7 linked regions of the Danio rerio genome follow. The protein of the gene in region 6 purifies or fractionates together with the protein of the main gene of each other region. This does not show direct contact. Links are inferred from orthologs where the notes say so. Each region holds a gene or a part of one and is shown on either strand. Other genes may lie near its edges.

Region 1 (4,054 bases), on a different chromosome or scaffold from region 6:
ATCTAAAGAAAAAAAACATTAATTAAATAGTAATTATTGCTCACAAGTGACTTAGAATTAAGATATTTGATCAAGTTTTTTTTAATTATAAGCATTAAAACATAACACTATGTATTAATAAAAATTCAGACACAAACTATATCCAAGACCATTACAATAAGTGCAAAAAGCCACATCCAGAAATAATATTAAAACAAAAACATAACAAGTAAAAATATTAAATTAAATATAACTAGTAATAAAAAAAAAAGATTGGCACACAATCAGACTACAGTGAGGGATCAGTACCAGAAAAAAAAACTTCATGAAATCTAACATCAAGTCATTTTTTTGTTATTAATTTGCATTAGAAACTTTTTCAAAGTTTCCATTTCTAATAAAAATTAATAGCATTTTGGTATACACTTCGCAAACTTCTGTTTATGAATAAAATATTAACCTTGTAGCATGTAAAAATTAACAACATACCAACATACTCTAATGAGTGTGTGTGTGTGTGTGTGTGTGTGTGTGTGCGTGCGTGCGTGCGTGCGTGCGTGTGTGTGTGTGTAAAGAGCAAATACAATCTTTTAACATGTATTTGCCCAAATAACACGTCACTAACATCATACTAAAATGTAAGAGACATCACAGTTATAGAAAAGATGTGATAAGTGTGCAAGTATTGTCAACATTCATGTATTTAGATAAGATAAAAAGAGATTAATTGATTTATTTATTATTTTATTTATTATTTTTTTATTATTATTAAACAGCAGCAAATATACAATTTAAACATGACATCCAAAACTACAAATGTAACCTATAACATAAAATAAACTAAAATATAAATTACATAAGTTAAATAAATAAAAAGACTGTAAAGATATTATGTCATGTAATGCGCTTTGGGATCATGTAATGACGTAAAGAACCGTCGGAACATGTTGAACTGTTCCATTCAGAGCTGCTGTTCAAATGAACCATTTGATGAAATGACTCTGATTTTTTCACTACCGTTCGTTTGACAGGCTGCAGACGGCGCTGTTAGTCGAATATCAGTTGTGACCATCGAGATGCCTGATTAAAGTGCGATCGTAAAACCTATTATTAAGTCAAATAATAAACTAAAATAGACTGTTTAAATGTACGTACTTTTTGTTCCAAGTGCAGATAGTTTCTACATTTTTAGTTTGAATTTTACTGTCTGCTCACTTCCGCAAATTTAGTCAAAACTAAGATGGTCAAGCGGACCGGGGTCCTAAATTGGGTCCTCGAGAATAGTAAACACTAACGTTACTGGTTAGCAAGCTGGAACAAGCTATAAATTAACAGTGACTGCGGTTTAAGGTTAATTAGATCATGGAAGACAGTGAACTGGAAAGGTATGATATTTCTAAATGTCAATTTTCCCCCTTTTGACCAGTTTATTGGACTAGTTTACGATGCAGAATATGCTAACGCCCTCGGCTTCGTGCAAATTGGTCAGTAAATTTGTGTAAACCAAAACCTGAGACGAAGCACCATACTTTTGTTATATAGCAAACATTTCGGTATCCTAGAAAAGTCTATTTTGCACCGTCAGAGATTTAAACGTGCTATTTAATTTGGGGTCACGGTAATACATAAATTAACCCGTTTCTGTCGTCAAATGTCTCACTGTAAATAATTTCCCCAGAAAAGCAGTGGAGGAGCTCCTTAAAGAAGCGAACAGAGCAAAAGCCCGTGTCGAGACAATGGGTCCTGCTGGATGGTAAGTTTGGATCACTAAATTGATAAATTACAGATATTTAAAGTGACCAATTTGAAGTCTTTTTCTATTATTAGTAACCACTATTGCCCCCACTCTTTTACACACACGCGCACACACACAAGGGTGTAACTTTGGTTTTCGGATGTGAACTTAAACCTGTGTATGTATATATACAGTACTGAGTACACCCCTTAAAGATCTGTATTTTAAATTAATATGTAGTATAAAATGCTTTACAGTAATGCATTTTGCACAAACTCTTTAGATTTTAAGGTACAAAAGCCAAAACTGTGACTAATCAAATATGCTTTTCACAATAATCAATATATCGACTTATCGCACAACACATTGACATGACATCTATCATTTTTGGTGATGTAATATATATTGCCCATATATAAAAGTCAATTCTAGCAACATTTTAGCTGATGGTGCAACCTCTTTATGTTACTGTAGTATATTTTCATGCAGGTGTCTGACAACTGAAAATAGATCTGGTAGCAGATCTTGCAGCCTCTGTTACTTTTTACATTGCACTTTTTACTACTATTTATTCAGGATATGTGTTTTCACATGCTGATTCCCCTGCCTCATTATTAAAGTTAAAATGACTATAAATTAAATGAAACATCCTTAAGAATAAAATATTATGTGGTCTTTAGAAGAGTGTACTTGCATTTTGATGTTATTATATTGTCATTTTGGCATTATATAATAAGTGGCATAAAATGGTCTCAAAATGACAATATTGTTCATCATAATATATGTTGGTGCAATATATCATACAAGAAAAAATAGATATTATGACAAGCTTATAATTAAAAAAAACTATTTAAGATCACAGTGCAAAAATCAGTACACCTTAATTAATATACTGGGGGAAAATATTAAATAATATATTAATAAACGGGAAAAATACTTTTTTTTTTTTTTTTTTGCAAAAACTTGTTTGATTGTAAGTGTATTATTTTCTATCCTCGAAGGTGTTAAATGACTGAACCATATAACTGTTCTGTTTAAATAAACCAAAGATGATTGGCTGTATTCATTGGAAAATGGCTAGAAGAAATATTTATTTTTAATTGGGTGTAATCGTTTTTACTGGTGTTTTTACGGGAGAATCTTGTGGGAGTGCGGTAACAAAAGTGTCAAATGACTAATAATTGTAGAACATTTGAGCTGGCTTCAGTCCTTAGTTCTTTCATTTTCCTTTTCATTTTATTAAAATATATGTATTTAACTTGTTTGTTAATTAAATACAGTTCTGTCATTTAACCTATTATTTTTATGCAACAGTCAAGTTGCATGCTAATTTGCTCTGTGAAGGTTACGCGATTTATGTTTAAAATGTTGGTTATCGTCCTCCAAATCAAAAGATGTATGTACAGTATGTATGTATGTATAGACATTTACATTAGATGTTGCCTACGCTTTTTTCATCTATTGAAAGGAATTTGTCGATAGAGTCGCCATTTTAGTACAGGGTAGCGCTTCTTTAAAATGAATGTGGGTTCAAGGTGCAGCGGAGGACTGGCCATCCATATATACACATATACACATTTATTTACGATCGGGGGGTTTTCCATTGGTCAGTATGCAAATATTTTATGAAATTACAAAAATTATAAGTTTACATCACTTTTCTATATTGATGGATAAATGATTGCATGGGCATTCCTGGCAAAGAGTGTGTGATTGTGTGCATGGAAATGTATTATCTACCCTCCCTGTTTAATTTGATCTAATTCATGTCCTTAAACACACCCCCTCTCCTGCTTTCACTTTTCATTCCAACGGAGGGAGGGATTCGTTTGTGAATGAATCTCTGTTAAGAAGGACTTGATCACTTAGTTGACAATAATACAAGTTTTCACAGCAGCACCTTCTTGTTATATTTCATTTACATTGTTATCTCATTTTATTCAACAAAACTAGCATAAGTCTAGAATTGAGTGCCAGTTTGTAACATACAAAAACATAAAAAACGAAATCTTACCTATGAAATGTTCTGCCTTTGTGCTTGGTTTTCTTTGTTTGCTTGTTACTACACCCGTAAGCAGTGCTAAAGTCCAGCATCTTCACATTGGCTTTAGTCTTGATTAGTGCAGTTGAATGATGTCCTGGGAGCACTGTACAAATGTGGCGGCGCAATTGACGCATGCTCAGGAACCATATGCGATAGTGTATATATCTATGGAATGTATGTATGTATGTATGTATGTATGTATGTGTGTAATTAACTACTATATATGTCTCCTAAAGCTGCTTAAATTGCCGTTTTGTTTTAGGATGAAATGTCCACTGGGAAGCACAAACAAGCGC
Region 2 (4,020 bases), on a different chromosome or scaffold from region 6:
ACACTAGAAACACACTAAAGGACACACCAATCCATACTAGATACATACTAACAAACATACTAAAAATATATTAATCCACATTTGAAACATAGTAATAATATACCAATCCATGGAAGAAAAACATAACATACTCCAAATATACCAATCCATACTAGAAACATAATAAACCACATTAAAAAACAAACCAAGGCCACACCAATTCATACCATAAAACATAATAAAAATATACTAATCCATACTAGAAACATACAAACAATATACCAATCTATACTAGAAACATACTAACGGACACACCAATCCATACTAAAACATACTAAAAATATACTAACCCACACTAAAACATACTAACAATATACCAATCTATACTAGAGACATAAACCACACTAGAAACATACTAAGGACACACAAATCCATACTAGAAACATACTAACAAACATACTAATAATATACCAATCCAGACTAGAAACATACTATAATAATCTAATCCACACTAGAAACATACTAACCATATACCAATCTATACTAAAACATACCAATCCATACTAGATACATGCTGACCTATATGTAGTTATCAATCTATGCCGACTGTTTCAAAATTCTTAAAAACTATTTCAATTAATTAAACTTTAAAACTACTTCAAACTTTCAGACTAGTCTCAGTCAATCCACCATAAGTTTGTGAGCAAACTTTACTTTTCAAGTTTCATTTGTTTACCTGCAGTGGAATCCACATTTTCCCAAGCAGCAGATCCTCCAAGAACATCATCAACCTCCTTCAGTTTGGGGTACTTTCTGTTGTTTACCTGTTAAAGCACATAAACAGGTTTGTTTTCCTATTTTTTTATCAGGTCAATGATACTGTCTATGCCTGACCATAAACCTAACCCTCATAGAAACAAGCTTCAATTGTTAGATACTAATAAAAACAAGGATGGTTCAAGGTGATTTATAAGTGTTTTTAATTTTACTGCAAGTTGCTGAGACTTATTTTAGTATGTTGAAGGACCTCAAACTGAAACTGCATATTGAGTAGGGGGCGGGGCTTTCTTTTTGCACATCATTCCCTCATCAACTAAAGGTAAGAGGGGCGTGGTTAGGAATATTGTGGATGCATCTGCCAAACTGACATCATCAGAGAAGGACTGCCACTCCAAACGCCAGAGCAAATGGTCAGACTTTGAAGATTATCAGAACAAAGATTTTTTTTTTCGGTGAATTAGCTTGCATGGATTTATCATTTACCTAAAGAATAGCATTGTGTGCTTGTAAAATAAACACTGTAAATTTGGATTTCACACAGACTTTAAAGAATATATATGCGGAATGTTGAAAAAAACTATCAATGACATAAATAGCAAAAATACTATGACAAGTGGCTCTTCTTTAATATGTCACTGTATAAATACAGTTGTTACCAGTGTCTAAAACAGCGTCATTTTGAATTCTAATCAGAGTTTGAAATTGACTTTTTCACTTAACAGCCAATTACATTTACAGACCAACTAAGCATTGAAAACTTGTATGTGTTTTGGCCATTTGTTTGCACAACAGCATTTTGGGGGATGCAAAAATGAGTTTTTAAGAGCTATCTTTTAAAAACAATGTCAGTAGTTTATAGAGGTGATTTATTTATCCAGGTTTTGTGTTATGATTCTGAAGTTAGTATTGTCATGTGCTATAATTGCATCTGTGTCTTTAAGACGGGAAACAGGTGGCATGATGGGAAGTTTTGTAATGTTACGGAGTTCATAGACACAAGAGAAGTAAAGAGTGGTGGTAAAATGTTAACCTGCGTGTGGCACTGTGGCTGATTTAATTCAGAAGTATGTGCAATTTATGAATGAACATTTGATGATAAGACACACATACATAAGTATCTATGAAGTGACATCAAATATAAACTTTTAAGTATCCAGATGTTTATCCACCTGAAGCTATAACAATATTTCTAAAAAATTTCTAAAATATTTTTAATTCCTACGTTTTCAAGATAATATAAACGAAGTTCTTGGTTTATTAAGTACATTGAGTAAGTTTATATCTTCTGTTAAACAAAAGAAGATATTTTGAAGAATGTTGCTGGGATCCATTGACTTCAATCAACTCTTATTTCCTACTATGGTAGAAAATGGGTGCCAGCATTATTCAAAATATCTTTTAATGAGAATTTATTCTAAAACTGTAAATTTTATACATAAATATAATAACGTGATGAAATAAAGAGCATTTTAAAGTACAATACAATCTTATAATCATTTAACCATTTCATTTAAGTAACTACTCAGTAACCCAGCGTTATTTATCATGCTCTGAAAGCAATGTTTGATAGAACATAAACACTCCCTCACTCAAATCTATTTTTGTTATATAATTTGTAATGTTAGAAACATTGATCTCATCAGATGTTCCTCACACGTTCTCATATTATCGAATCAAGTCATTTCTTTCGTTTCATTCGAATCGAACTTTTAAATGTCGGCGTTCCGTCGAACTTTAATGCGTTCGAATCAAACGTTCCAAACGCTTATTAGATACAAATTTCCATAACCGGTGTTATGCATTACCTTCCTCGTGATGTTGTGCACATATGGACATGTGTTACACGCGAATCTAAAGCATCGCTGTCCTTCTTCCACGATTAACACATTCCCACATGTCGGACAAAACAGGAGCATTTTCAAACAGTCATAGATTATGTTACGTAGTAAATACAGTTATAGTTTCTTTCTGATGCAACTGAAGTTGGTATTTACACACAGTCCTTTCTAAGTCGCTACAGGAAGCACATGACAATCAATGTGCCTCTGTATTATTGGCTCGCCATAAAACGAAATATAGACAAGGATGAACACTGTTTCTGTTGTATATATTAAACTTAAATATATATGAAAATGTCAACGAATATATTAATGCTGATTAAAAAATATTTTAATAGAAGATTGTTATTGTAATAAAGAATGTGAATCATAAAAAACCTATGCGGAACTAAAGTCGGGTGCATCACTGAAATATTCCGACAGCGTGTTTATAAAAATGAAATGTAAAAAGAAATGCTGGAACGGCTCAAATTGTTAAAGTTACAATTTTTAATACAATAAGCTTCTGCAAAAGGCGTACAGTTTTTTTACGAAATTGTAGTTATGTTAACTATTAACGCTTAGTGACTTTTTTATAAGTCTTGGATTTCTATACCCTCAAAACAAGACGTTTGAAGATAAAATGGACGAAATAAAGGACGAAACCGAGCTCAAAAAAGAGTTAGAGGAGAAAACTGTGGAAGATGAAATAAAAGAGGAGCACGAAGAGGAAGAAGACGAGGAGGCTCTTCCACACTCAGAAATTCTGGACATCTTTGAAGAAGGGCTGGCTCTCATAGTGCAGGACCCGCTTCTGTGTGACCTGCCCATTCAGGTGTACATGCAGTCAAGGGGCTGTTTTAAACGGACAATTCACCCAGATATTAAAATGTTCGGTTAATTGACATCCCAAGATTCTGTTCTTAAGTAGAACAGAAAATACGTTTTTTTTTTAAGTTGAGAACTATGTTTTCCTATGTACGTTATCTATATAATGGTGGTCAAGAAGCGCCATCACTTTGAGTTTAATATATTTAAAATCTTCCTCAGAGCTGTTTGTCCAGGTTGTGAATAGCTGATAATGTAGTTGTAAATACTAGAGGGTAATAGTTCCAGCTTAAAATCTTCTATATTCTACAGATTTTTTTTCAACAGTTTCTTCTCCTCTGTGTCAGTATAATGCTCACATTTATGTGCCGCGTTTGGTTGCACCTCTGACTTGCTTATTACCTCAAATGTGTCTGTGAATTGTTTCAAACTAAGGAAGTCATAGTCAGTACATAAGTGCACACCACTCGTGAACACATGCAATACACTGAGGAGAAGAAACTGTTGAGTAAAGTAGTTATTTTTGTTTTATGTGCACACAGATGTATTCTCGTAGCTTGATAATATTCTGATTGAGCCACTGTAGGCATATGATCTGTTTTGATGATGATTAATT
Region 3 (3,975 bases), on a different chromosome or scaffold from region 6:
CAATTCCTCATTGATTAAAAAAAGTTGCCCATCAGTCATGACACTAGAAAAGTCATTTAAACAACTTTAATGATGTCATTAGTAATTAATTTACATTTTTGGGGTTCTATTTCACTATACGAAAGTGTATGTGTAAATAAAGGCCTGATTTGATTTGATCGTAGACATGAAATATCTAAGATTTAGTTTAGGAGTAATGTATGACCTGGACGGCCGGTCGTCTTGAGGATTGTATTCTCCATCGTCCGGCGTCCCGTCCTCATAAAGAGTGCTGGCGATCACCAGTCTGAACTTGTCACCTGACACAATGACATCATCCTCATTAGCATATGACAGCAACACAACATTATCATCACTAGGGCAGCAGGATACCGGAAAAACATGTAAATACTGTTGGAGTGCTGATAAAACCAACACAATCTCACGGCAATTCGTAACTTTTTCATTTAGTGGCTAATTCGTACGAATTCGAACGATCTAATTCATACATTTTAGTACGATTTGCTCATCTCCAAATGACGGTTAGGTTTAGGGGTGGGGTTAGGTGCCACGCCTCCTTTTTTATAATCATACAATTTCGTTCGTCTGAACAAAACACTGGAGAAATTACTTTATTTGTTTGTTTTTTTTAATCATTTATTTATGCAATGACCAAATTAACAGATAAGTAGACAAGTAACAATATGAAAATGTAAAAAGGTAATGGATTATAGGTTGTTTGCACATGACATCATTGATTGAATGTGTGAATATAAAACCAACTTTACCTCTATGCAGCCCAGAGAACAACACAGAGAGCAAGAACAGTGACTTACCAAGATCAACAGGGTAAATCTGGATGTTGACGTCCAGGATGAGGTCCATCTTGAAAGACTCACTTTCACAGTGAAGACGAGACACTGATCATCACAAATACAAAACAACAAATCAAGAGTGTTTAGTGAATTCTAGACTTTTAGGGGGGAAAAATAATAGTGGTTGATTTATAAAAAAAAAAAATAAATAAATAAATAAATAAATAAAGTAATTAAATAAACATCTCTGCCTTCTGATATGCCTTTTACGCAGTTTGTTTTGATTTTATTTTTATTTTAATCACTATATATTATTTAGGTAGCATCAACAAAAAGAATATTAAAGAATATAGATTTAAAAATTCTAAGTACTAAAAACACTTATTATTAATAGTAATAATAATATTGTTTTATTTGCATTTAAATTGACATTTAGACAATGTAAAAATATACTATTAATTTTTATTTAATATATTAATATTTTTTCCATTTAAAGTAAATATTAAATATATATGATCAAGTAAATGTACAAGTTAAATTAAAACTTTAAGCTCTTCAACATCCATTATTAAAGTAGTATTTATAAATATGCAATAAGCTTGATTATTATTGTATGATAAAAAAAAATCTTCAGAGGTAAAGTTGGTTTTATATTCGGATATATTCAGACTTTCTCCTTAATAATATTTTAAGAAAAAGTATTATTTGCCAATACTAAATATAGGGAAATCATGTTAGCAGCAAATGACTATCAAAGTACAACATTGTTCACATTCAGATAAACAGTGTTAATGTTGTTTACAAGTCATACTTGCGTGCTAATTCCGATCGAAAACTCAAAGTAACATGGTCAACAATATAGAGACTGCAAAATGAACGAATGTGCAAATATAAAACCAACTTTACCTCTATATATAAAAACAGTAATTAAATAAACGGCTCTGCCTTCAGATATGCCTTTTACGCAGTATGTTTTGATTTTATTTTTAATTTTGATCACTGCATATTATTTAGGCAGCATCAACAAAAAGAATATTAAAGAGAATATATATTAAAAAAATCTCAAATAATAATTAATATTATTAATAATAGTAATAACAATAAAATTGTTTTATTTGCATTTAAATTGACATTGACAATGTAAAAAAATACATTTTTAATTTAATATATTCATATTTTTCCATTTAAAATAAATATTAAATATATATGATCAAGAAAATGAGCTAAATTAAAAATTAAAAAGTTTTAAGCTCTTCAACTTCCATCATTAAAGTAGTATTAATAAGTATACAATAAGTCTAATTATTATTGTGTGATAAATAATCGAACCAACAAATAAACCTTATTGAGGTAGTTTTATATACGCACATTTAGACTTTCTCCTTAATAATATCATTAAATAAAAGTATAATTTGCAAACTTTAAATAGTGAAGTCATGTATGTTTACATGTGATTTACATGTGAGCATGGAGAACGTTAAATGAAGGAATGTGCGAATATAAACCAACTTTTCCTCAATCTAAATCTTCATGCTGTTTGTAAGTTTTATCAATAACTAACGTTATAAAACACATTGAAGAGACTTTTGTTTTATCCAGTAAATAAATAAGTGAATGAATGAATCACCTCTGTCAAACTTCTTCCCATCAGGATCGATATCCTTCACATCAAAGATATCCTCGAACAGAATCCCAGCCATTTATACTCCAGCAGGATACACTAAATGCTCAGTTTGGTGAATTAAAATCCCGCTGAAAACTAAATTATGTAGAAATCAACACAAAACTCGACGGAGACGCTTCATTCAAACACTCTCCTGCTGAATGCTGTTTTGAATAAGCGCTTTCTGGTGCACTTCCTGCAGATACACTGTGCGTAAACTCGTCCCAGCTCAGAAATATTAATAATAAAACTACTGTAAAATGAAGCAACTTTCTTTTCGTTCAACACAAATATGAAACATGCCGCGAAACAATGTGCTTCGTCTCTGGTCACTTGATTCACTACTACTTCCGGTTCGTGGCGCGCTTTTTACGACAGTAGCGTATTCGATCTTTTTATTTTTTTTTTGCCTGTTTATTTGTTTATTTATTTGTTTGTTTATTTAATAGTATATGGAGGATTAAACCTGCATAAACAATAAGTAAATAAATAAATAAACAAAGAAATACGCAAATAAATAAATAAATAAAAATATACTCAAATTCGTGCATAAATAAAAAAATAAATAAGCAAATAAATTAACTAACTTATTAATAAATAAGTACACAAATTCCTGTATAAATAAAACAATAAATGCATAAATACGCAAATTAATAAATAAATTAATTAATTAATTAATATACACATTTCTGCATAAATAAAATAATAAATTAATTAATACGCAAATAAATGCCCCATAACCATGTTATTAATTTAATTATTAATCTGTCCACATTCTAATCCGTCCTCCATAATAGTGAACATACCTGCATAAATACCAGATTAATGCATATTTTATATATATATATATATATATATATATATATATACAATAATGATAATAATAATAACAACATATTATGCATATACATAATATGTTATTATTATTATTATCATTAATAAAATTATTATTATCATCATTATTATTTTTATTATTATTATCTTTGTCAAAACTGACTTTGTATTTATTAATGTTTTGTGTACATATTTATAATTTAATAATTTTTTAACAATACATATTAAAATACAACTTTGTATGTTATAAATATGTACAGAAATGCATGTAATATTTGTCATGTAAAATTGCTTTAATAAAGGTTAATATGAATATAAAAGTTAGTAAGTAAATATAAAATATATTATAAATATATATAATTTATTTATTTTAGTTTAGTTATTCATAACCATAAATAGTTTAAATGAGAATTTAAATTATGAATAAACATGATTGTTTTAATAAAGCATTTTTTTCATAAATTCTTAGTTTTGTTTAATTGTTATTTGTTTATCAATATTAGCATATATCAATATTAAAACAAGTGCTTTGTCACTATTACTATGTTAATATTACTTTAATAAACGTTACTAAAAAAATAATGCAGCGATTTCCCATTAACCACGAAATTCAAAGATTCGAAGCACAAATTACTACAAATCTACACCACATTAAAACTACAATTTTTTTACGACACTCATTTC
Region 4 (3,500 bases), on a different chromosome or scaffold from region 6:
TAAAACTGAATCCTCATCTTTAGTCTCCTCCCAAAACCAAAATGAAGCCAAATTATTATCCGAGCAGTAAAAACTAAAAACCTACAGGTATCAGACAAAGCAAAAGAGAGTCGCTTTCCACAGCAAAGTCACGGCAAAACAAAATCTCGGCGTCGGATTTAGTGATGAGTGGACCGGCGGGTTTTGGAAATCTCCATACGCTTGTTATTGTTATCATTAATCCGCTCTGCTCTGCTCTGCTCTGCCAGTGTCTGTGAGTCTCAGAAATGAAATGTTCAGTCGGTGGAAAACAGATCTCCAGCAGACGGCAGCGGAGCCAGGCCGCCCGTCACATTCGGGAGCAGAGAAAGATCTGGAAGACTCTGGATGTGTGATTTCAGCTCCTTCCTCACTTGTGTGACACGAGCCAGTTTCTGCTTGTATTCCTGCAAAAACACACCGGATAAATCAACACACAAGGGCTGCACCATATTGGAAACATCTGATATGGTGATATTTAATTTTTCTGTGATAAATATTGCGATATGAAGTGTCTTGAAGAATATCTAGTCAAATATTACGTGCTGTCATCATGGCAAAGATTAAAGAAATCAGGTATAAGAAAAGAGTCATTAAAACTGTCGTTTAGAAATGTGTTGAAGAAAATCTTCTCTCAGTTAAACAGAACTTGTAAGAACTGGTAAAAATTGAGTTTAAGTGAGATTTTCCTTAAAGGAGAAATAAAGCACTCAGTCAAGTTTACTTTATTTTGTATACTTTAATGAAAATATATTAAACAAACTCGATTAATGCAACCATTTAGAACAAAATGGAGTGTTTTACTATAAATTTTAGACCTAGGGCGCCGCCAGCTTGGAATGTTGCTGTGTCTGACGTCACGGGGTTGGTTCCGTTCCCTCGGCTAAACATATACAGTAAAAGTAAAGAAGATTGTAAAGCCTAATTTAACCCAAAAGGTGAAGTTGTGGATTTGCTGCTGCAAATACAAGCATCAGATGTGTGTCTAATGTAAAGTTATATATATTTATTCTATTTTTTTTTTTCTATTTTAAGTAAAGAACGGAACAACCCTGTGACGTCAGACACCTCGACATTCCAAGATGGCGGCTCCCTAGGTCTAAAATCTATAGTTAAAAAACGCTGTTTTCTGCTAAATGGTTACAGTAATAGAGTTTAACATAGTTTCATTAAAGTGTAAATCCCATGTACAAAATAATATAAACTTGACCGAGTGCTTCATTTCCCATTTAAAACAAGCTAAATAATCTACCAATAAGGTAAGCAATAATGTGATTAAGCCAAAACAAGATTTTACTTACATCACTGGCTGGTTATTTTGCTTGTTTTAAGGAAAAACTCTCTTCATTGTCATTTTATTTAGGAAGACACGACAATAATTTCTATTTGTCTAGAAAAATTTCTCGATTTAAGAATTATTTATTTGGCATGCTTTAAGTTTTTTTTTTAAATGTATTTATTAAAATTATTATTATATTTTTTTATTTCTCTGATTTTGAGGTTTTCTTCTCTCTTTGCTTTTGGTTAAGTAAAAAAAGTTTGTTAATGTTTGTACAATATGATTTATAATAATAATAATAATAATAATAATAATAATAATACCTTTTATTTAGGTGCCTGTCTAGACACTCAAGGCCACCAAACAAGACAACAAGGACAGTCAGTTCAAATAAAAACACAATATAAAAGTCAATAAAATGCAAAAAAAATAAAAATAAAAATTGTTTTACACATACAGTTGAAGTCAGAATTATTCACCCTCCTGTATTTTCTTCTTTCTCTATTATTTCCCAAATGATGTTAAACAGATTCAGGAAATTTTCACAGTATTTCCTCTAATATTTTTTCCTCTATAGAAAGTCCTATTTGTTTTATTTTTGGCAAGAATCAAAGCAGTTTTTAATTTTTTAAAAGTCAACATTATTCGCCCCCTAAAGCAATATTTGTTTTTGGATAGTCTACAGAACAAACCACTGTTATACAATGACTTGCCTAATTACCCTAACCGTACCCTAATTAACCTAGTTAAGCCTTTAAATGTCACTTTAAGCTGTATAGAAGTGTCTTGAATAAACATCTAGTCAAATATTATTTACTGTCATCATGACAAAGATGAAATAAATCAGTTAATAGAAATGAGTTATAAAACTATTATGTTTAGAAATGTGTTGGAAACGATCTCTCTGTTAAACATAAATTGAGGGGAAAAAAAGATGTGTATGTGGTACCTCCAGCTTCTTCTCTCTTTCGTTGAGCGCGTCTTTCTGGCTCTGTATGTATTCGGTCAGCATTCGGGCCAGTTGTCTGCGGTCCTCCAGCTCCGCGGCCAGACGTCCATTATATTCAGCCAGCAGCAGACAGGCCTCGTCCACCGTCTTTGACAGCTTATCTGCTGCCTGTTTATCTGCTGACACAAACAACAACCAAACGAAGAGATTCATGCAAACCACAATGAGCAAGATAATGATCGAGTCAACACATTTCTGCTTTATATTAGTATATCCTCAAACACGTTAGCATTCACACGATAAACGCAAAATAGCCCCAATGTACATTAAACATTGAGGGTTTTTGATAATTAGCTTCGATGCATTGAGTAACACAGCTATAAGTGAATGAAAACATCCAGCTGAGGGTTAAATCTAAAAGTGCAGCATGTTTAAAACTATTGATTCTTTAGCAAAATAGTTGACTCAGAGTTACATATTACATAACCATTACACACTGTGATAAAGCCTGGTTTGTTAGTTCGTTGGCTCATATTGCTTTATCAATACAACCAAACTGCTCCAGAGTTCGTATCAACCAAGGCGAGACCATCTCATTCAGGCGATCTCAGTCCGACTGACTTGGTGCGGATCAGAACACGATTACACTATTCACATATTTCCAAACGAACTGAGCTGACAGGACAAACGTGCCAAGATAAGAAACAAACGGCTAGGTGTGAAAGCACCCTTAAACTTGATCTTAACCTGTTATCTTCTCCAGCAGAGAGACGTCCTGCACCTCCTGCGGAAGAGATGCGATCTTCTGTCTGACGGCGGCGTCTCCTGAAGCAGCGTTTTCTAGATCCTGCAGAGCTTTCACCAGGTCCTCCGTCTGCCAGATCAACACAATCAAGACATTAAGACTCAATCCCAATTATATTGTATAACCCCTACTTCAAATATACCCCTAAGAAATAGGACAGCACTACTACATCATCAAATGCCGTCGCAAACTCTTTCTTTAAATGAGATCGATGATGCCGACTGCTGTAGATTTTCCAGTTGTGCTCTTTTTTTTTGGTCTTTATCTTCAGGAAATCACCAAAAGCAACAATATTATGTTATCATATCGATACAATGCGGCAATAAGCTCATAACTGTACACCGTGTATTTACACCGTGGCCATATTCATCAATTTAAACACATAAACAACATTAACATTATAGCAGACACTGTATAAAGCCCATTCTCAGCCACTACACTTTTCTGAC
Region 5 (4,004 bases), on a different chromosome or scaffold from region 6:
TTCTACAAACATTAAAAGCAGGACAGTCTAATAAAATATTTAACAGAGGAATCTTAGAAAATATGCAAGGAGTAGGGTGTTCCTAATATACTGGTAATATATTTATTTTAAAATAAATAATTTTAAATTTAGAGCCATATTTGCCCATTTGTGATATCACTGACATTTTAAAAAATAAATTTGCTTAATTGTTTTTTATTCATTATTGCGATGTGAATTAATACAGAGATTTGATTATGAAAGTTTGTAATTTAGGCTTTGGTTGCAACCTTATGTTTGTAAATGTTGTGGCGCTTTGAGCTTAGAAAGGTGCATCATAATTAAACATTATGCATTATTATTACCCAAATATAATTTATAGCATCTCTCCATGACAATGTCAAAATTTTAGCGCAGCCATTATTTCACACTGCATAAAAATAAACCTAAGCAATAAAAAATCTTTAAATAAGCAGTTTTATGTATTTTGTGATTCATGTTTTTACTTTCCCCCATTTATTTACGCTTTTGAATTGGATTATTACTTTCCTCCAACAACTTTTAACCTTGTAAAGTTAAAAAAAGTGACTTATTTACTTTTTTAATAGCTTAAAGTGATATACTGTCTGGTTGGTGTTGTATATTACGCTACAAAAACATTGTAACAAACATTTTCTATTCTTTAACAGACTTATTTCTTTAGATATTATTTTTATACATGATATTATTATTTCAAATGACTAAAATGTGAATAAGTCACTTTGTGCACTTTTGATGTTAAAAATACAACAGAGGAGAGATCAACATAGCATAATGCAATTTGCCACCGCAAATAAACCCAAAACACACAAAATAGAGAAACTGTTCACTAATATATTTTTTACAGTGTAAGAGGACAAAGTAAAAGCACATGCATATCAGTATGTGTATGATGCTGAAATCACTACTGCAGAAAGTACAAGTAAAAATGGGTCAAAGCTGCTGCAGTGCTAAATCTGAAGTCAGACCCGCTTATGAAGGATACATACCTTAATAATACATTTAATGTTAGTCTAAATAATAATATCTGCCAATATGAACTGTGTTGCATATAAAAATTAAACAAGCGAGAAATGTTATGTAAATGCATTTCTTCACTGTATACAATAAAACTATAAAATCTTGCATAATCATTCTGCCTTTATTGCACCTGCTGCTTTTATAATGCATTCCAGAAAGCAATTATATTTTGCAAAGATACAATTCATTGTATAATAAAATATAAATCTATTTGTATAGTGCTTTTCACAATAATTCATTTCAAAGCAGCTTTACAAAAGGTGCACATTTCATTACAGTCAATTCAAAAAAAAGCTAAAATGTTGTAAACATAGTTGGGCTCATACACATTTTTACTACTAAAATTTCATGATTTTGCCAAGACTTTCATGTAAATGTTCATGACCTAATGTTTCATGCAATGTCTACATATGCGTGGTAAAAGAAAAGCAATGCATGTTCAAATTTATTAGAGCATAGCATAAAACATGCAACAATCCATTTACTTTCAATTTATATCCATGCAAAATTAATTTAGATAATGCTTACACCGCACTAATAATATGAGAGTATGTGATTGGCCAAGGACAGAAAATAAGAGAAAAGCCTATATTCAAGTATTTGTCATGACTTTTCTAAAACTGTGTAGGTTTTTCTGTTTTTCCAAAACTTTTCCAGGCCTGGAAAATGCCATGTAAAAATTCCATGACTTTTCCAGGTTTTCCATGACTGTATGAACACTGTATAACCTGCAGTTGTACAGGATGTGATGTCCTTCCCCCCCTAAAAAATATATTTACATGTAATAATAATACATGTTTAAAGTCATAATATAAGCAAATACAGTGTTCATATTCAATCAGAATTAAGAGTTTATCATGTTTTAAAGTTCTCATTTTCAACAGTTTCATATTGTTAGTCATTAAATAAGGTTTTAAGATGTCTAATTAAAGCAAGGATTTTTAATAAACATTTTATAGAGATGACACCCTCAAATTGTATAAATTTGGGTTGAACTCAAAAATATTGTTTTTCCTAGCGCTAGAAATCACACTTTTGACATTTCAAGCCCTGTTGTTAATTTTAATGACTGTGGTACACTAATAAACAGCTGTTTTGATGCTCAAATATGTATTCAATATCATAATATCAGCATTAGTCAGTGTACTAACGTAATGTGTTTACTGAAGCACCGAAACCGCGCGTACAGCTTGGCAGTGTCACAAACACCAGTGAACTGCCCACACAGAGTGTATTTTATAGTCAAAAGTACTGTCCATTCGAAACCAACCAATAATATATAATCTTCAAATATATCAGTATAGTGTCTATGTAGAAAACTCTGTATTTGACACACAGCCGTTTGTGTCAGTGAGCAGAGCTAATGCGCAGCTAACTCTCGCTAGCTCAGCTAACGTAACATCCATAAAAACGACAGAGTTGATAGATCAAGCATATACATATACACACACAACCCTTATGGCAATTATATAGTTACTTATGTTATTAAAAGTACATTTTAGCTGTCACTTGGCTTGAAACTCACCCTCGAGCAGGCGCTGAATGATGCTGTCTATGTTGAGTTTGTCGATGTCAGCCATGACTAGCCGATAAAAACACAAACACCACCGCTTAAAACACACCAGACACGACAGATAAAACGACTTCGATTAAAAACAAACTGGTTAATCACAAAACTCTAAAAGAAAAGATTAAAATGCTCGAGCGGGCCCGTTAGACGCGCGTGCTGCGGCGGTGGCGCACCGGCTCTGCGGAAGGACACGCAATTCGGCTCGGTTTCACCGCTGATGGAAACGGGAGGGCGGATGAACACAAAGGAAAGGAAGAAAAGTAGTGCGGAGGAAAGAGGAGGGCGTGCCGCTGACTTTCACAATAACGTGTGACGTTGAATGTTAATTGCAATGAAAAACTTTTAAAAACACATGTTTAAAACATATCCTACACATTAACATAATTATTTATTTTAACCAACAACGTCTTTTGGCATGCTGTTATTACAGTAGACCTAATACAAATATTATTTCATTTGAAAAAATTGCATTATGCATTTAATTTATGCTGATTCGGGTATACACATGTACTAGTATTACATTATTTGACAGTTCTGTTTATGTTAATTAACCAGATGCCTTGTCAACTGTTATTTATTATAATAACCTAATAAAAAATTATTAATTTTGGCATAAAATCTAGTTTTACAGTATTTGACATGACCTTTTATATTAACTAACCACATTTTTTTGTCAATTGTCATTCATTATAGTAAAAAAAATATTATTTAATTTGTAGTATTTTTGCATTAGAAATTAATTAATGCTGATTTTGGCATTAAAAAAAAACTAGTTTTATAGTATTTGACATTACTTTTCATGTTAACTAACCTCATCCTTTGTCAACTGTCAATACCATTACATATTTTGTCATTTGTGGTAAGGTATTTACTCAGTATGCATTTAATTCATGCTAATTTAGGTATTAAAAATACTACAGCATTGCAATGCAGGCCCGTAGCCAGCCTATTAAAAGGGTTCTCAAAAAGTGGAACTTTTTGCAGCTATTCGGCTCATTTTTATCAAATACATTGACATTTTAAGCACAAATTTTTGGATTAGCTTGTCGGATGGTTATCATTACAATACTTTTTGACGCAACAAATATTTTCCTATATTTTTGTCAAAGTGCTTACCATACTATTAACAAAAAATTGTGTTTATTTACAACTGTGCATTTAAAATTTACACTATTACTTTTTACAAATAATGTAATGAGATTAGAATTTAAATTAAACATTTTGAACTAAGAAATTCGAAAAAATACTTATTTTTTCAAATGCTAATTTATTATTATCCATCATAAAATAAGGAATCTGTTCAAAGTTGTTTTAAATTAAAAAACTTAAGCCTATATTTAGAGAAATTATCAACCTACGTCACAGGGGTTCCTGGTGTCAATAGTAATAGTTGTGC
Region 6 (4,045 bases):
AATATTAAAAATACCACAGACAACAATTAACAACCACTGCTAAATTATCAGTAATGTTTTAGTAGCGTGAATTGGCCATCACAGAGAATGACAGTCCTGAAAGTTCCTTGTGAAAAGTGGGACAAGCCTTTACATATTATTCCCATTCATGTCATTTCTCAATAAAATCAGAGTAAATGTTACATTTTTTTTTTTTTTTGCTATTGAATGTTTTTTTTTCAATTTCCATAAAAGGAATGAGGTTATTTCAGAGTGACTGGCAAAACAATGACAGTTTCAAGGTTAATTATGTGCTAAACTACTAAAATAATGTGATGATAGTAGGTTAATTATAACTTCCAATGTAAATACTGGTGTGGAATATGCAAGATCTTTACAGATTCTACAGGTAAATGACAAGATGATGTCAAAAAAATTTAAATAAACACACAAACACACACGTTTTGTTTGGCTGTACGATATTCTGCTATATCAGCACTTGTACAGCCTTCATACTCTTCTGTATTATTCCGCCCACATAGAGTGACAGCAGATGAAAAAACTTACTACAGATTGACAAATATAAGGGTTTTGGACAACATAATGTACTTTTGAGGTGAGAATGTAGTTGTTTAGATTGCAACTTTGCAGTTTATTTATAAGGATAGTGGCAATTTTAGAATATTTATAATTTCTGAGAGACCGTTAGCCTGTCACTGAGCAAAGCATAGACGGTTGACGTTTTGCTACAGAATGGCGACAAAAACCTCGATAAGTGCTTAGGGGAGGAAAAATTCAGCAAAAATAAAAATAAAAAAAATCAAATTACAGCTGATCAAATCATTATAAATAAGTGTCACTAAGTTGATGTTTCTCTTTTGTATGTTGTAGTGCTGTATTTATACCATAGTAATCTGGTTGCATTTGCGTTGCTTTGGTTTTTTCGGGGTTAATTATTGTGATCCCCCAATCGCAACAGAGAAATACTGGGAAATCTCTAAACATTGATGGCATTTCATGCCGTTCATCCTTATAATCTTAAAATGTGAGCAAAATGACCTGTTTTGTCATCACTTTAGACATTACGCTAGAGAATCCTTTAAATACTAGCTCTAAAGTGACGTTAGTGAATTAGCACAGGTTTCTGCTGTTCTGATGTCAGGTGCAGATGTGAATAATTGCCAGAAGAAGGTAGTTCCTCATACAAAAGTGTTTTTGAGAGACTCCGGTAGTCTTATGCCACTGAACTGTTGAACTCGTGGCAGTGTGATATGGCTGTATATCGTCACTGGTGGGACACTAAGGCCAAAGGGTACCAAAAAAGAGGTACGGTTCGCTTTTAGGTAACTTTTGACATTTTAAATGGCCATAAAAGCATTCCGAATACTAGGTAATGTCAAATAGAACTTTATAATTCTAAGGTGACGAGATTATATATATATATATATATATATATATATATATATATATATATATATATATATATATATATATATATTAGACACACACAATTATAAAACAAACTTTTGTAATATAAAGAAACTAAATTTATGACAAAGTAGTAAATGAATGATAGAATGATACTGGCAGAGAATATGGATTAAAAGTTACAAATACTTTGTGTTTTGGGGTTGCACTGTAATGCTTAGGACTAGGAGTATTTTAATGTCATCAAATGATACATGTTCTAAATATACCTGCCAATATACAGTATATTCTACTTGGTATAAACTTCTGTTATGGTAAAATATTTTTTATGGGTGTCTTAAGCTAAATGTGGCCATAATAATAAATGTAATAGACAAAGCTATAATTATTATTTTGTTGCTCAGGGATTCTAAAACAGTTTTTTTTTAAAACACATCTTTGCTGTAAAGAAAGCAGGTCAAACGTAATTTTCAAATCCAGCCAACTGGGTGTTTATCTTCAACTGTGAACAAATGGGGTCAAAGACATTGTGTGTATGACATTCACCTATTCTTTTCACTCCATGCACATAGAAATGGGTCAATTAAACCTTACCTTCACAGGGAGTCGTTTCCATTTCATTGCCTACTCTAAAAGTACTTTAAGCTTTTACTTGCTCTATACATTAAGGCAACGTGGGCATGTGCCATGTGGTTGATTAAATTGGAGTTAACGTCACATGTAAAGTTTTCTACTAACATCAAGATAAGCTTCATGTAAACACATACACGTGGATTTTACAGCAAAGTATTAAAAACACATGCAAACAAAAATGCAGTAACTGCAAAAAGAAAACCAACGGCAACACGTGATACAGAGAGAACTTTCCAGAGAATGAAACGGGCAACGCTGCAAATATACAAAATAAACGACATTAAAATCGACGACAAATCTTTCAAACGCTGATGACAAATCACGTTTATGAACATCAACAATAATATCTGCAGGAATGCATTGTTGTTATGGAAATAAACATTACTCCTGACCTTCCTGTGCTCATCTTTCAACCTCTCCACGCCTCGAGGCAAATCTCTCGTACTCCGTTTGACTTTCCCAACTGCAGCCATTTGCTCGTGCATCCACAATCAAGCAAGGTTTTTGTGTGATTAAATATCCAAAACAATGAATGCTCAGGGGTTTGAAGTCCTATAGAAATGTTTATGAATGCAATGTGATGCGTTGCACTCAATTTGTCGCCTCGTAGTCATCAATGAAGCAGAACGAGTCGTCCAGTATATCGAGATTGAGACCATTTCACACGTGCATGGTACGATGTCAATCTAATCCCGAAATTTCCTCTTGTTTACAGTCCACCGACGGCCTGCTTCCCCTGCGCCATGTTCATCTAATCACGGATGTAGTACGTGCTCTGGATATCGCTCTCCTTCTACGACGCAAGCACGTGATCTCCCACTTTTGCTATTTAATTTCACTTTCATTTATAATTTTCGACTTTAAATGCTTAGCTGCAATAAATTTATTGAGTTATTCGTGGACTTAAATGATTACATGCTGAAATGAAATTAAATAAACAACTTTTAGTATTAACGCCACTCTTTAAAATTGGCAAACGAAAGTGGTCGCTTGTTGGGACACGTGTATATATACATATTTTGATAACAGTAAATGTAGGTACTGTCTAAGCGCTTTTGTTCTGTTCACTTTATATGTTTAAATGAAAACATGGGTTGATGATGAGAGGATGTAAACAATCCTCACGCCAACGTCACGTGACGTTACGAAACAGGAAGTCGTACAATTTATGATTCGACAAAAACAAAAGGCTTCTGTACAATTCAAGGAGCTTAGAATGACCATTCATGATCATTCTAAGCTCTTTGGTACAATTTCATGTAAGAAAGTTTGCTCATTACCCCACATTTAAAATAAATAAATAAATAAAATAAGAGAAGTTACATTTAAACTGATTAATAGATGCTATCCAAACCATTTGGATCTAAAAAGGCTTATGAATAATATTAACATCAACTGTCCATTTTGCTTAGAGATTCCTAAAACTTCTGTTCATTTATTTTGGAATTGGCCTCATTCAGTGACATTTTGATGTGATATTCTTGATTTTATAAAAGATTATGTGCTGGCACATTTTGCATTTACTTATAAGAATTTTTTTTTTTTTTTGGTTTCTGTAAAAGTCAAAAGGAAAGTAATACTTATTTCATAACCTGATTTTTTTGTTGGGCAAATTTCATATTCACAAAAACAAATTTTGTAAGTGTATTTTGTTTAGGGTTAGGATTTTCTTTCTTAATGTAAAATTGAAATGAAAATGTATTTTGAGTCTATTGAGGGATCAACAAACTTAAAAGCAATAAGAACAAGGACTTTATTGCAGGATTTGGCACTTATCTTGGACTAGATGACTGAAAACCCCTGGATTGTTGTTGTTGTTTGCCCTTACAAAAATAACTGCAGTAAACGAGAGCAGTAAACTGAAGTAAAACTGCAGTACAACAGCAGTAAATAGAAGTATAATTGCATATGAATTAAGTACAATTGCTATAAAAATGAAGTATAAACACAGCTCAAATGCAGTACAATAAAGTTTAACTACAGTTTAAGTTCCAGTTAACAAAAC
Region 7 (3,651 bases), on a different chromosome or scaffold from region 6:
TAACTCTACCATGATAGAGTCTGTTTGCTTCCTTAAAATAAATTTAAATATCTGAATGGTCAACTGCAATGTTCCAGTAACATCCTACCTGAAGAGCACAAGTCAGTCCTCTAAAACCCAAAGCCCAGATTACTTCATGGAAACATTAAATGTGGCAGGATTATTTTGTGATCGATTAAATACATTTATTCAGGTCATTAAACAAATCCGATGTGAAATTTCAGATGGTACTTGAATCAACTGAAAATAATCTCAGCACATTGTCTGCTTTTGTCTGCATTGAAATGGAGCCTGACCCTGCTGGGCCGCAGTAGCCATGACAACAGGCCACAGATTGTCCTCGTCCACATTTTCCAGCACTGGAGACTTACAGTGCTGCTTATTTTAATGAAACACTAGGAAAAAGTCGGTTGAATAGCGTCCAGAACTATGGTCTCCGCCACTTTAATTAGCCTGGTATTTATACGGTTGCTAAGGGAAACAAAGTCAGAGGCGGCAAAGAGAGTTTTCTTCCATTTATTAATTTTGAAGCCCACTTATACAAAACTCATGAACTGCTTTTAGAACACTTTGATAGCTTTTCCCAACGTTTGGAAATAAATTAAGGAGAAGTAAACAGCAACACACACAAATAAAAACATTAAAAAAAGAGTGTGTTATGACAGATGAATATCCACATGAGGAAGAGCAACCCTCACACAAAGGCATTGTTGTTTAGTCACATGTGCTACTCTTTTAGTTGTTAAACAAATCAAATTAAATCACTTTTAACCTTCGAAATAATGTTGGGGAACTTCAAACAAGTGTGACTCTTCAACTTGGAGGTTATTTTCCACTTGGTTTAGTTATCCAATGAGAAAATGGCTGGTGGATTACGTCATTTCAGACAGGTTATTACAGACATGTACATGGGTCATGCAAAGTGTTATGCCGTGACACTTTTCTCCTGAATTATTACTATCGTCAGACATAAAAACAGCACGTTAAACAGAGGTCTATAGAGTTTTGCTGTAAGTCCCAGAGGTTTTTAAGAAAACAGAACATGCAATGCCGTTTGTAAATGCAGCTGTGCAAATGTGTGTGTGTGCGCGCGCGCATGTCACGGTATCCAATTTAAAATCCCTTTTTCTAGCTTTGTCCACACTGACCTATTTTATCGACAATAGATTTGCGTCTGTGTGAAGTGTCTGCTGACCTGTGACCCTGACAGCGTTAGGTGTGTGTGTGTTCGTGAAAGCCTCTGGTCTTGAAACTTCATCGTGTAGCGAAATACACATCAACCATTAATACTTACAATCATCACTCTTTCTTCATGAATCGACATTAATGTTCAATAATCAAAGAGTACTGAAGTAAAGTTCAACAAAATGCTTATATATCAGCACACTACCGAGATCTTTGCGTAAAAGAACGAGTGTGTGTTTTGCTCTGGGATCTTTGTAGAGCAAGTCAGGAGCTGCTTACCAAAAGCAGTATTTATTATTATTATTTATGTTATTAAAATACCAATAAACAAACAAGCAGAGCAAAAGAAAAGAGAATTCCACTGGTCACAGCAAAATTTCTGTACACAAATTTTAAGAAAGGAGAAAGAGGTTTGGCAGGGCGAGTAGACAGACTTCAGAGGGGGAATTGGGAAGGACAAGCTGCCCCATACAGGGGTACTTTGCTGAAGGTGGGGATGGGGGATGGAGAGTGTGGTTCCGGCTGGCGAGCCGCTCACCTCTTCTTGGGGGCTTGGGCAGTACGGGGCGGGGTCACAGGTCGCCCTGAATTCACCCCGCTGTACTGATACTTTGCCTTCTTTTCTGATGGCTTCAGGATCTGAAAGAGAACAGGGAGTGTTTGAGTGTATTTGGAAAGCACAATGCATGCTTGTGTGTGTGTGTGTGTGTGTGCGTGCACGTGAATAATGCCACACCTGAAAAGAGCACATGAGTGACTCATCCACACTCATCATTCCACCGGCATTGTCAAACTCCCCGCAGTAGTTTGGCGCTGAAAACAGAGTGACCAACTGCCGCTTCGCAAAGAATTCATAACCATCCTCAACCACCTGCAAAACAGCACACGATCACTACACAAACTACAACACAACATCTGCACGTCCAACTCATGAAACACAATAATGGATGAGATGGGTTGAAATGAACTGTTACCTGATGTGCCCTACAGATTAAGTCCAGGTCGTGGCGGTTCAGGAATTTGCTGACTACATCAGCACCAAACGTGAATGAAACACCACGATCATTCTCTCCCCATCCCTGAACGTCCTTATCGGGGTCTGACCACAGCAAATCACACAGCAACCCTGCAAGAGTAAGAGACTCAGCATGAAATCACTAGAGAACAAGTGTCTGTGATATTTTATTATAATATCTTAAGTTCATTTAGTTGATTGCTTATATAATGGCTGATTTATACTTTTGTCTGGCGCCACGTAGTAGACCTTTGTTGACTGTGCACGCACCTCACGAAATGGATGAGGCTTTTATACTTGATGCGTTTGCCGATTAAATATTTTTTTAAATGAAAGGGGTTGGTCAAGAGGTACCCACCGTAAAATCAAGTAAATAGTTTCCGGAAATACGTCATATCAATAATGTCATTCAAGATTTTTAAACTAATTATTTTTTATAAATTATTATAAGCATTCAAGATTAATTAATAAAAAATAAATCAATTAATCAATCAAACTTTGATGCATCACTTGCTTTTGTTCATATCTTAGACAATTCCACGTATTATAGTTTATTAAAATATTAATTATAACAGAACAGGGGTTGCTCTACAAATATATTTTTTTATTTTAAAAAGTACAGTTACTAAAAAATAAATTTAGATTTAGCCTGATCAACAATTCACACATTACTGTCTGGCTAGTTTATGTCCTCTACAGTTGTATGTTAAAAAGGTCCAACGATCCTGACCAATATCACAAATAAAGCCTTGAAAAACAGGGCATCAGTATATTGTAAACCGTTTCAAATATTCTTTCCAGTTATAAAAACAAATAATATGTTACTTCATTTTAGTTTTCTAACTATTAAATTGTTTTAAATTCAAAATTGTAATATATAAATCAGTGTAACACCTATGAATGGTGGAAAAGCATATTCTGTAATTGTGTATAAAACCACCTGGGTCTCCATTTTTGACATGGTCTCACTTTTTGGTTTTAAGAAACTTATCCCTCAAGTTTTTCTGAACTTTATTACAAAAACTCTCTTCCTTTTCCCATGGCTGTTGCAATTTCTAGCCAAATTGTTGGTCATCGGGTTGATGTCTGTACAGTCTTACCTGTTTTAGATAAAATCTCTTTAAAGTGATTCATATTCAACTAAAAAGAAATGCGGTGCCAGTCTCAAAAATGCTCACTCAAGCAAACGCGTCACATATAAATCATCCTTAAGTGGTCAATCATTATTAAATGTAACAACATGTTTTCAATGACCAACGTTAAATTTAAGTGAATATACAAAACATTACGTTGTGGCGACCCCGGGTTATTAAAGGGACTAAGCCGAAAGGAAAATGAATGAATGAAGGTTAAGATGAAGCAAAAAAAAAAAAAAAAAGCTAGATGAAGATAAAAATTTTACTTATATAAAATGTAATTAAATCTAAATGACCATATTCAATGGCGAAAAA

What was found.
Region 1: the proteins of uri1 (region 6) and si:ch211-140b10.6 purify together in Homo sapiens (affinity purification with mass spectrometry; 4 studies listed by BioGRID and IntAct, with this or other methods). This does not show direct contact. The link is inferred for Danio rerio from reciprocal best matches to the Homo sapiens genes URI1 and POLR1D.
Region 2: the proteins of uri1 (region 6) and polr3k purify together in Homo sapiens (affinity purification with mass spectrometry; 3 studies listed by BioGRID and IntAct, with this or other methods). This does not show direct contact. The link is inferred for Danio rerio from reciprocal best matches to the Homo sapiens genes URI1 and POLR3K.
Region 3: the proteins of uri1 (region 6) and polr2h purify together in Homo sapiens (affinity purification with mass spectrometry; 3 studies listed by BioGRID and IntAct, with this or other methods). This does not show direct contact. The link is inferred for Danio rerio from reciprocal best matches to the Homo sapiens genes URI1 and POLR2H.
Region 4: the proteins of uri1 (region 6) and rprd1b purify together in Homo sapiens (affinity purification with mass spectrometry; 3 studies listed by BioGRID and IntAct, with this or other methods). This does not show direct contact. The link is inferred for Danio rerio from reciprocal best matches to the Homo sapiens genes URI1 and RPRD1B.
Region 5: the proteins of uri1 (region 6) and ppp1cc purify together in Homo sapiens (affinity purification with mass spectrometry; 9 studies listed by BioGRID and IntAct, counting the BioPlex papers as one, with this or other methods). This does not show direct contact. The link is inferred for Danio rerio from reciprocal best matches to the Homo sapiens genes URI1 and PPP1CC.
Region 7: the proteins of uri1 (region 6) and ppp1cb purify together in Homo sapiens (affinity purification with mass spectrometry; 3 studies listed by BioGRID and IntAct, with this or other methods). This does not show direct contact. The link is inferred for Danio rerio from reciprocal best matches to the Homo sapiens genes URI1 and PPP1CB.

What each region holds. Positions count from the first base shown.
Region 1 is NC_133199.1:25,556,434-25,560,487, forward strand, and holds the start of si:ch211-140b10.6 (protein POLR1D-like), read left to right. Parts: upstream 1-1,254; 5' UTR 1,255-1,341; coding exon 1,342-1,364; intron 1,365-1,657; coding exon 1,658-1,732; intron 1,733-4,020; coding exon 4,021-4,054.
Region 2 is NC_133178.1:45,547,072-45,551,091, reverse strand, and holds the start of polr3k (DNA-directed RNA polymerase III subunit RPC10), read right to left. Parts: upstream 2,801-4,020; 5' UTR 2,676-2,800; coding exon 2,565-2,675; intron 804-2,564; coding exon 716-803; intron 1-715. Other genes in the region: snrnp25 (U11/U12 small nuclear ribonucleoprotein 25 kDa protein), read left to right, coding at 3,220-3,411. UniProt on the Homo sapiens protein: Core component of RNA polymerase III (Pol III) which synthesizes small non-coding RNAs using the four ribonucleoside triphosphates as substrates. Can mediate Pol I proofreading of the nascent RNA transcript.
Region 3 is NC_133197.1:38,621,830-38,625,804, forward strand, and holds the start of polr2h (DNA-directed RNA polymerases I, II, and III subunit RPABC3), read right to left. Parts: upstream 2,801-3,975; 5' UTR 2,495-2,800; coding exon 2,422-2,494; intron 900-2,421; coding exon 816-899; intron 300-815; coding exon 206-299; intron 1-205. UniProt on the Homo sapiens protein: DNA-dependent RNA polymerase catalyzes the transcription of DNA into RNA using the four ribonucleoside triphosphates as substrates.
Region 4 is NC_133198.1:46,851,370-46,854,869, forward strand, and holds part of rprd1b (regulation of nuclear pre-mRNA domain-containing protein 1B), read right to left. Parts: intron 3,121-3,500; coding exon 2,994-3,120; intron 2,426-2,993; coding exon of another isoform or gene 2,423-2,425; coding exon 2,247-2,422; intron 426-2,246; coding exon 276-425; 3' UTR 1-275. UniProt on the Homo sapiens protein: Interacts with phosphorylated C-terminal heptapeptide repeat domain (CTD) of the largest RNA polymerase II subunit POLR2A, and participates in dephosphorylation of the CTD by RPAP2. Transcriptional regulator which enhances expression of CCND1.
Region 5 is NC_133180.1:2,464,584-2,468,587, reverse strand, and holds the start of ppp1cc (serine/threonine-protein phosphatase PP1-gamma catalytic subunit A), read right to left. Parts: upstream 2,801-4,004; 5' UTR 2,619-2,800; coding exon 2,564-2,618; intron 1-2,563. UniProt on the Homo sapiens protein: Protein phosphatase that associates with over 200 regulatory proteins to form highly specific holoenzymes which dephosphorylate hundreds of biological targets.
Region 6 is NC_133193.1:16,045,470-16,049,514, reverse strand, and holds the start of uri1 (unconventional prefoldin RPB5 interactor 1), read right to left. Parts: upstream 2,801-4,045; 5' UTR 2,514-2,800; coding exon 2,433-2,513; exon of another isoform or gene 2,029-2,432; coding exon of another isoform or gene 2,002-2,028; intron 1-2,001. UniProt on the Homo sapiens protein: Involved in gene transcription regulation. Acts as a transcriptional repressor in concert with the corepressor UXT to regulate androgen receptor (AR) transcription.
Region 7 is NC_133192.1:27,031,225-27,034,875, forward strand, and holds the end of ppp1cb (serine/threonine-protein phosphatase PP1-beta catalytic subunit), read right to left. Parts: intron 2,312-3,651; coding exon 2,160-2,311; intron 2,057-2,159; coding exon 1,922-2,056; intron 1,825-1,921; coding exon 1,720-1,824; 3' UTR 501-1,719; downstream 1-500. UniProt on the Homo sapiens protein: Protein phosphatase that associates with over 200 regulatory proteins to form highly specific holoenzymes which dephosphorylate hundreds of biological targets.